2 linked regions of the Macaca mulatta genome follow. The protein of the gene in region 1 binds, or shares a complex with, the protein of each later gene. Links are inferred from orthologs where the notes say so. Each region holds a gene or a part of one and is shown in the gene's direction. Other genes may lie near its edges.

The links. The genes of interacting proteins can lie anywhere in the genome.
Region 2: CHCHD6 (region 1) and APOO share a complex: the UniProt entries of both Homo sapiens proteins name them as parts of the mitochondrial contact site and cristae organizing system (MICOS) complex. The link is inferred for Macaca mulatta from reciprocal best matches to the Homo sapiens genes CHCHD6 and APOO.

What each region holds. Positions count from the first base shown.
Region 1 is NC_133407.1:157,207,179-157,210,740, reverse strand, and holds part of CHCHD6 (MICOS complex subunit MIC25), read left to right. Parts: intron 1-1,505; coding exon 1,506-1,650; intron 1,651-3,562. UniProt on the Homo sapiens protein: Component of the MICOS complex, a large protein complex of the mitochondrial inner membrane that plays crucial roles in the maintenance of crista junctions, inner membrane architecture, and formation of contact sites to the outer membrane.
Region 2 is NC_133426.1:23,700,476-23,704,811, reverse strand, and holds the start of APOO (MICOS complex subunit MIC26), read left to right. Parts: upstream 1-1,532; 5' UTR 1,533-1,768; coding exon 1,769-1,777; intron 1,778-4,336. UniProt on the Homo sapiens protein: Component of the MICOS complex, a large protein complex of the mitochondrial inner membrane that plays crucial roles in the maintenance of crista junctions, inner membrane architecture, and formation of contact sites to the outer membrane.

The sequences.
Region 1 (3,562 bases):
CCTCACAGTAGTTGTTACTGATTGGCCTCTTCAGCATCCTTGAGGCAATTGCCCTCAGTATGGTCAGAGGACCCAGTGGGTCAGCTTAGGGGGCCCAGTGTCAGCCGTGGTTGGGCGTTTGCCTTCTAGTAGTTCAGCCATGTTGGGTCTGTTGCATAATCATGGGTTAAGACCCACATTCTAAGATTCACTCTCCCTAATAGGTCTCAGCAAGAATAACTGACCTGGCCAGGTGTGGTGGCTCAATCCTATAATCCCAGCGAATTTAGGAGGCTAAAGCAGGAGGATTGCTTGAAGTCAGGAGTTTGAGCCCAGCCTGAGCAACATAGTGAGACCCTGTCTCTACAAAAAAAATTAAAAACATTAACTGGGGGTAACACACGTCTGTAGTCTCAGCTGCTCAAGAGGCTGAGGTGGGAAGATTGCTTGAGCCCAGAAGTTGGAGTTTACAGTGAGTTATGATTGCACTACTACACTCCAGCCTGGGCCACATTATGAGACCCAAAACCAAAAAAAAAAAAAAAAAAGAAAAAAAGCCAACTACTAACCTGAACCCCGCTTTTTTGGTACTTTTAAACATTTTCAAAATGGTAAAGTAATACATGCTAATGAAAGATTTAAAAATTTATCAAGTGAAAAAATCACCCATAGACTCATCATCTCAAGACAACCACTATTAATATTTTGGAGTATTTCATGTTCTTCTCCACCCAGAATCCCCTACCCACTGTTTAGGGTTATTTTTTGAAAGTCATAGATAATTTCATATCTTGCTATTTTCACTTCGTATTATAATGATTTGTCATTAGTTTCACCTGCTTTATAAGCAGTTTTATTACTAAAAGCATTTATTGGTTCTCAGTTTTTAGATTTAACCTACAGACAAATGAAAGACTATATTTTCTAGTGGTGATGTCATAGATCATTATATGATCACACCATATTTACTTTAGCTTGACCTTGATTTTGGGACATTTAGGTTGCTTGCATTTTTTTCACTATAATAAATAATACTGTTAAGAGCATCTCAGCACTAATAACTTTTTTCTTCTCTATAGGATTATTTTACTAGGCAGAATGCCCAGAAATAGGTCAAAGGGTAGGAACATATTCAGAATGAAGAGTTAAATGTTCAAAACAGAGGACTACTACCATCTCCAATCTTCAAGCTCTCAAGTGGAGGCAATCCGTGGATTGAGCCCCTCCCTGAGACTCTCACTGGGCATGGGGCTGCCTACTTGGCCAGGTCTCCTCCTGTTCCTGAGCTGTGTTGTCCTGGCTCAGTGTCATTGTCTCCCCTTGTCTGGGGAACTGTCAGTGATGCCTGAGCTCAGGCGTGGAATGATGGGGCGTGTGGTTTTACAGCACTCTCTCCTTTCCTGGCCGGCTGCTGGCTGGTTTCAGCGTTTCCCTGGCAGCTGAAGTGAGTGCGCAGACCTTGTCTTGGCTATGGGCTGCCCGTCATGTCATCTGCATCTGTTTCTCCTCATCTTTCTTCTGCACAGGTGTGAACAGGAGCATGCTGCTGTCCAGGATAAGCTCTTCCAGGTGGCAAAGACGGAAAGAGAGGCTGCCACCAAGCACTCCAAGGCATCCCTGCCCATGGGTGAAGGCAGCATCAGCCATGAGGAGCAGAAGTCAGTCCGGCTGGTGAGTGCAGATTTTCCCTGAACTAGCCTGAGCTGGGCAGCACTCGGGGAAAGAGGGGGTGGGCCCTGGCACCTGGTTAGTCTGAAGCCCTGCTGGCTCAGGCTGCCCCTGGGATGTGCTCGGCTTCACCTCTATGGAAAAGGGTCTTTTGGGAGCCAGGAACTTGGGTTCTCCCAGCCCTGGCTCTGTCAGTGATTTGCTTTGCTGCCTTTGGCATGTTTTTTCAGTCTCTGTGGCCTCAAGTCTATACAGTAAGGGACTAGATCACTTGACAGTCTCATTCAGCTCTGAAACTTCACAGATGTCAGGGCTGCAGTGGTATGTGTTTCGGGAGGGTGTGAGGAGAGAGGACTAGAGGCCTGGAGCCATGTAATATATGACAGGGAGGGCATCATCTTTAGAGTTAGGTAGGCTGGGTGCAAATCCTGGACACCCTGTCTGTGAGCCTTGCTCGAAGATCATGATGCTCACACACAGGACTGCCCAGGGAATCAGAGGAGATAGTATTTGTCCAGGACTTAGCACATGCCAGCAGACTGTGGGAGTGCACTATTGTTATTGTCATTAATACATTTAAGTGATGGGTGGCTATTAGGGTATTTTTGCTTAAGTGCAGCATTTATTTTGCAACATGAGAAGTCTCAAAGTGCCCCCAGGGTTGACTAATTCAGTGGCTCACTAGCATCATCATAGACGTGATGCTTCTCTTCCTGCCACTCTGCCATCCACAGTGTGCCAGTGCATCCTAGGGAGGCTGTCCCCATGGTTAATAAAGGCTGTTACTGCCCCACAAGTCCCATGCAGACAGTAAAACCCTCAGTAGAAGAAGAGAGGCTATGCCGGCCCTTATGTCTCTATCACAAGGATAACTTTCCTAGAAGCTCCTGGCAGAATTCCTCTTACATCACACTGACTTGAATTGTACCAGGTGCCCATGGCTAAGCCAGTCCTCAGCAGAGGGGATACAGAGGGCTCCACTGGCTGCAGCTAGGGCTCTTTTCTAGTCACATTAGGGAGATTGCGCATCCAGCCAGAATTAGAACTGACAGCAAGGAAGTTGGGGGAGGGAAGCATGGCTGTGGGCAGCATCTAATAACATCTGCTGGAGGTTTGAGACCAGGAACAGCCTTGCCCTACTTTAGGTGGGTAGCCTGGTACACACGGTGTGGCCTAGAAGGGGGTTGAACATGATGTGAGAGCATCATTTGGGATTGTGCTCTCCTGGGAGGGGGGAAGGCAGACATGCTGGCTGGGCACAGGCCTTAGCTTACTAATTTGATGACTACACAAATGTTTGAAGTGTGCAGTGGGCACATAAATGCACGTTGAACCAGGCCTTCTGGGAAATACAAACAATGTAGGATCCTAGCCCTCAGGAAGTTTTAGTCTGTGGAGAAGACAAGCACTGACTTGTGCTTTGAAAAAGGCCAGTTTGGTTACAGTAGTTGTTAAATTGAGGAAAAGATTTGGAAATGCAAATGTGTAAGCTGCTGGTGGATCAGAGCTGGTAGATCAGAGAGGGCATTTAACCTCAGCCTTAAAGGATGAGGGGCAGCTGGGCTGAGACAGGTGGGTGTTAAGGAGGTGATCAGATCCAGTGAGAAGAGTGAGGTTTGAAGCCAGATTTTAGAAGGCCTTGGATGTGCTGAGGAGTTAACCCTCAAAGTAGCCCACAGTGATCCTGAAACAGTCAGTGGTTGCTGAAGTTTGTAAGGATGGGAGTGATGAGATCTGACTTGTGCTTTTAGAACCCCGTGGCATCCTGGTGAGGAATCAGTTGATACAGTGAGAAACTGGGGCCAGGGCATGCCTTCAGAGGCTCTTAGAGTCAGTCTCTGAGAGGCAGATCGGTTGTTACTCCTCTGCAGGTAGCCTGACAACCAAGTTAGAAGGACCCCTATCCTGGAGATGA
Region 2 (4,336 bases), on another chromosome or scaffold:
AAATTATAGTAAATGTGTCTTAATGCATTAAATGAGCTCTAATGACTACTGTATTTTTGAAGCAGTAATGAGCGTAAATATTTCAAGATCTCTGACACGACTGCAAGGTAACATGAAAATATCTGTGCTTTCTATTGATGACAAAGTCATCAATGCTAATACTACTGTGGCTTGTTGTCTACACTATAATTGAAAGAAACAAAGTTCAGTTAGAGGTTAGTGAAAATGAAGTTGTCATTTTTTCCCCCATACAAGTTCGCACACCCCATGAATTAAGACCTTCTGCCCTAATTTATCAATATGTTTCACACTTTTACGTATGTGTGATGTTACACTGCTGATGCAGAGAGCCTTCTGAGTCTATTCAATATTTCTCCTTGGGGATGCCTTGGAATATACAATCCTCTTAAGAAAGAGAAAAGCAGCCCTTAACATCTGGGAGTTGGCTGGCAGTCACAGCTGGGCCTTGGTGTTACCACTGCTTCCTAACAACACCCGATCCAGAGCAAAGCTCCTGCTTCCTTGAACGTACCCCAAAATCACCGAACCAAAGCCCAAATCCTATAATAAATCTAACTCTTTTACTGAAATATGCCACTGTGTTCCTACATGTGCGTTCTCCTTGGAGCAATGAGAAACCCATTTTCTTCAACTACAGGTGTGCCCCTAGTGGTCTTTGGCTGGAGGGCAGTGGCACATCACTGCACAAATTCCAAATTTTTCCAGATGCCCGCCCGGATAGGGCTTACACTTTTTATAGGATTAGGGCAGAAATACAGAATGAAATAGGAAATACATCCTCATTATGAGACAGTGAAACAATTGTTTTGGCTAGAACACAGGTTTCAAAGGCAGACTAATGGGTTTGGATCCTAGCTTCCCACTTTCTGTGTGGTCTCGTACAAATTACTTCTATGTGCCTCAGTTTCTTCATGTATGTATTGGGAATAATAACCATGCCCACCTACTTCCGTCGTTGGAAAGATTAGATAAATGTGAATAAAGAACTTAGATCATGACTGCGCATATCAAAGTGCTGTATCAGTGCTTGTTACTCTTGTTAATAAGATAATTATTGCCATTATCATTTACTTCTACAAGTATTAAGGGACAAACATTTGATTCCCAGAGAGGAGGCTTACCGCTTGTTTCTTAAAGGGAAAAAATAAGGTCAGAGCCTTTTCCGATTAAAGGACACAGCATATTAGTTTAAATTTAAAACCTGAGAAACCTCCAGTCCACGGTTAAAACCTTTCGTAAGATAAATCCAGGCCGCCAACCGGCGGCTTCCGGCTGCGAGGCTTTCGAAGTCGCCCGAGACCCTCCAAGCGCCCCCTCCCGGCAGCCTCTGCTCACAGAAATCCCAGTCCACGCCGCTGGGCGCCCGGTCGCCGCGGCAAAGACAGTTTCCCAGCGCCGCGCGACGCCAGGCACCTCCCTCCTCGCGCCTCCGCGTACCACCCACACAGAGCCGGCGCTTTCTTGCCGCCTAGCAACCGCCGACGCAGGGGCGGAGCCTCTTGGAGGGCGGGGTTTGCGTTCATCCGCCGCCCGGGCGCGACGCGCTGCAGCTCAGCGACGCGGCTTCTAGAACGGGGTGATTGAACTAAGCCTTCGCCGCACCGAGTTTGCAGTACGGCCGTTACCCGCACCGCGGCCCGCTTGCGGTTGGAGAAATCAAGGCCCTACCGGGCCTCCGTAGTCACCTCTCTGTAGTGGGCGTGGCCGAGGCCGGGGTGACCCTGCCGGAGCCACCGCTGCTAGCGACATGTTCAAGGTGAGAGCGTGGAGCCGGGTCACAGCTGTCACCGCCCCCTCCCGGCTGCCCGAGCCCTCCCCGCGCTCTCTTGGGGCCTCTCCGCAGGCCAGGCCCGAGGCTTTTCCCGCCACTGGGCCGGCTGCGTCCCGGCCCCGCGGTTCATTCACTGGTCTACTGTGGATGAGCGGCTGCCGGGCGGAGGCGAGAGACCCCCGGGTGGGTGGGGGGCGGCCCTTTGGGTTGTGCTTTCGTGAATTAAACACTTTGAAAATGTAAAGTGCCTTCCCCCAAAGTACCCATCCCTTCGGCTGGTGCCCTCTTGGGATCGTGGGTAGGGGGAGGCCAGCTCAGGGCACTGCGGGGTTCGCGGCTTTAGTTGCCTGGCAGGGTCAGGTTTCAGAACCTGATGTGTGGATGGGGGAGGGTCATTTTAGGAGAAGCTGTGCAGGGTATGGGGGAGGCTGGGGTGGGATGGCTGGGTGACGACGAAAGCTGGAGCTTTGCTCCACTCCCCAGGGAACATTATTTAATACGGACCAGTGGACCCCCTTCCCTGCGTTTTGTGAACTCGTGTCCTTTGGGAAAAAAATAGACTTTTACAATGAAGACTTAATTTCGAAAATCTGCACTGTAGTATAAAGCCATTATTCTACTTTTTAAAAAGTAAATTATATGTATTTTGTCATAAAAAATCACAGGCTACCAGAAATTAATCTACAAAATTGAGTCTTCAAGAAGCATAGTACCCATAAAATAGTGCTAATGAAATCTCAGAATTGTAGTATTCATTTAAAAGTTTTGTTGAGCTCTGCAATGTGCTTTGGGTACGTTAATAAAGGCTGTAAAATCAGAACATGCATTCTGCCTTCTAGTCCTGGCATTGCCACTTTCTAGCTGTGTGACCTTGGGCAAGTCACTTACCTTCTCTGTGCCTATCTTCTTTTTTGGTGAAATTGGTGTAAAAACATCTACCTCATAGGGTTGTTATAAGGAGTAAGTAAGTTGGTATGTGTAAAGCACTTGGAAAAGGCCTAGTATTTGCTCTTACTCTGTTTTCAGGCAGCTCACAGTTTAGTCAGGAAGACAGATCCTATAATCAACATTCATTTGATAAATTTGTGTATTAAACACCTGTTATGTGCTAGGAGCTCAGCTCCATTTCAGGGTTACGACAAGGAAAGATATGCTGTGGCCAGTTTAACTATATGTGTACCAACACTGTAGTAAGGTAGTGAAAAGGAGAGCAGGATCCACTTGGCTTAACCAGGGGTTCCTAACCTGGGGCCCTCAGCTCCTCAAAGGACCTGCACATAAATTTCAGGGGGTCCCTGAACTCTGATGGTGAAAAAATATAACTATTTTTAGCAATCTCCAATTGGAATTGAGCACTTCCTTTAGTTATGGGTAATGTTTCAATTATCTATTGTTGGGTAACAAATCACTGCAAACCAGTGCCTTAAAACAAGAATTGTTTCTCAAAATCTATGGGTTGGCTGGGTAGTTCTGCTGGTGGCTTGACTGAAAGTTGGCCTCACTCGCATGTCTGGGGGCTTGGTGCCCCTCCGTGTGCCTAGCTTGGACTTCCTCACTTGGTTACTGACTTCCAAGAGGGCAAGTCCCAAGGCACAAACACAGCATCATGTTTGCTGATGTCAAAACAAGTCACGCAGCCAAGTCCAGAGTTGATACAGTGGGGAACTACACAAGGTCATAGACATGAGTTGGTGCACTTCACTGGGGCCATTCATTTTACAAGCTCCTACCTTAACAAACCACAGTAGTATTAGCAGTACCTGTTACCAGTGGAAGTCACAGTATCAGCACAAGTCACAGACATTTTCATATCACATTACAGTTGTTGCAGATCTCAAAATATCATTTATGCTCATTACTACTTCAGAACTATGATAGTTAATAAGACTCACTGCTAGATCTTTTTGTTTAGTGGGCTAGTAAAGAAGCACATACTGTTTATATCAGATATTTGTGTTTAAAAAATAAGATTATTTCAATATAGTTGGCACTTTTTTGTATGCAATTAGAGGCATCATTTTGAGAAGGGGTCTATAGGTCTCACCGACGGCCAAAGAGGTCCATGGCACAACAAAAGGTAAAGAACCCCTGGGGACTTCAGAGAAGGCTTCACAGACGGGACACTTAAATTTAGTTTTGAGACAGGTAGGAGTTCTTCAGGTAAATGAGCGGGGGAACATCAGTGGTATTCCATTGGGGGAAGTGCTGGAAACTCAGTTTTGATGTGTCAAGGGAAAGATACAGTGAGCTGAGATGATTATTATTGTTATCATTATTTTTTTCAGACAGAGTCTGGCCCTGTTGCCCGGGCTGGAGTGCAGTGGTGCGATCTCGGCTCACTGCAACCTCCGCCTCCCGGGTTCAAGTGATTCTCCTGTCTCAGCCTCCCCAGTAGCTAGGATTACAGGCGCCTGCCACCACACCCAGCTAATTTTTTTGCATTTTTAGTAAAGATGGGGTTTCACCATGTTGGCCAGGCTGGTCTCGATCTCCAAACTCCTGATCTCGTGATTCGCCCGCCTCAGCCTCCCAAAGTGTTGGGAT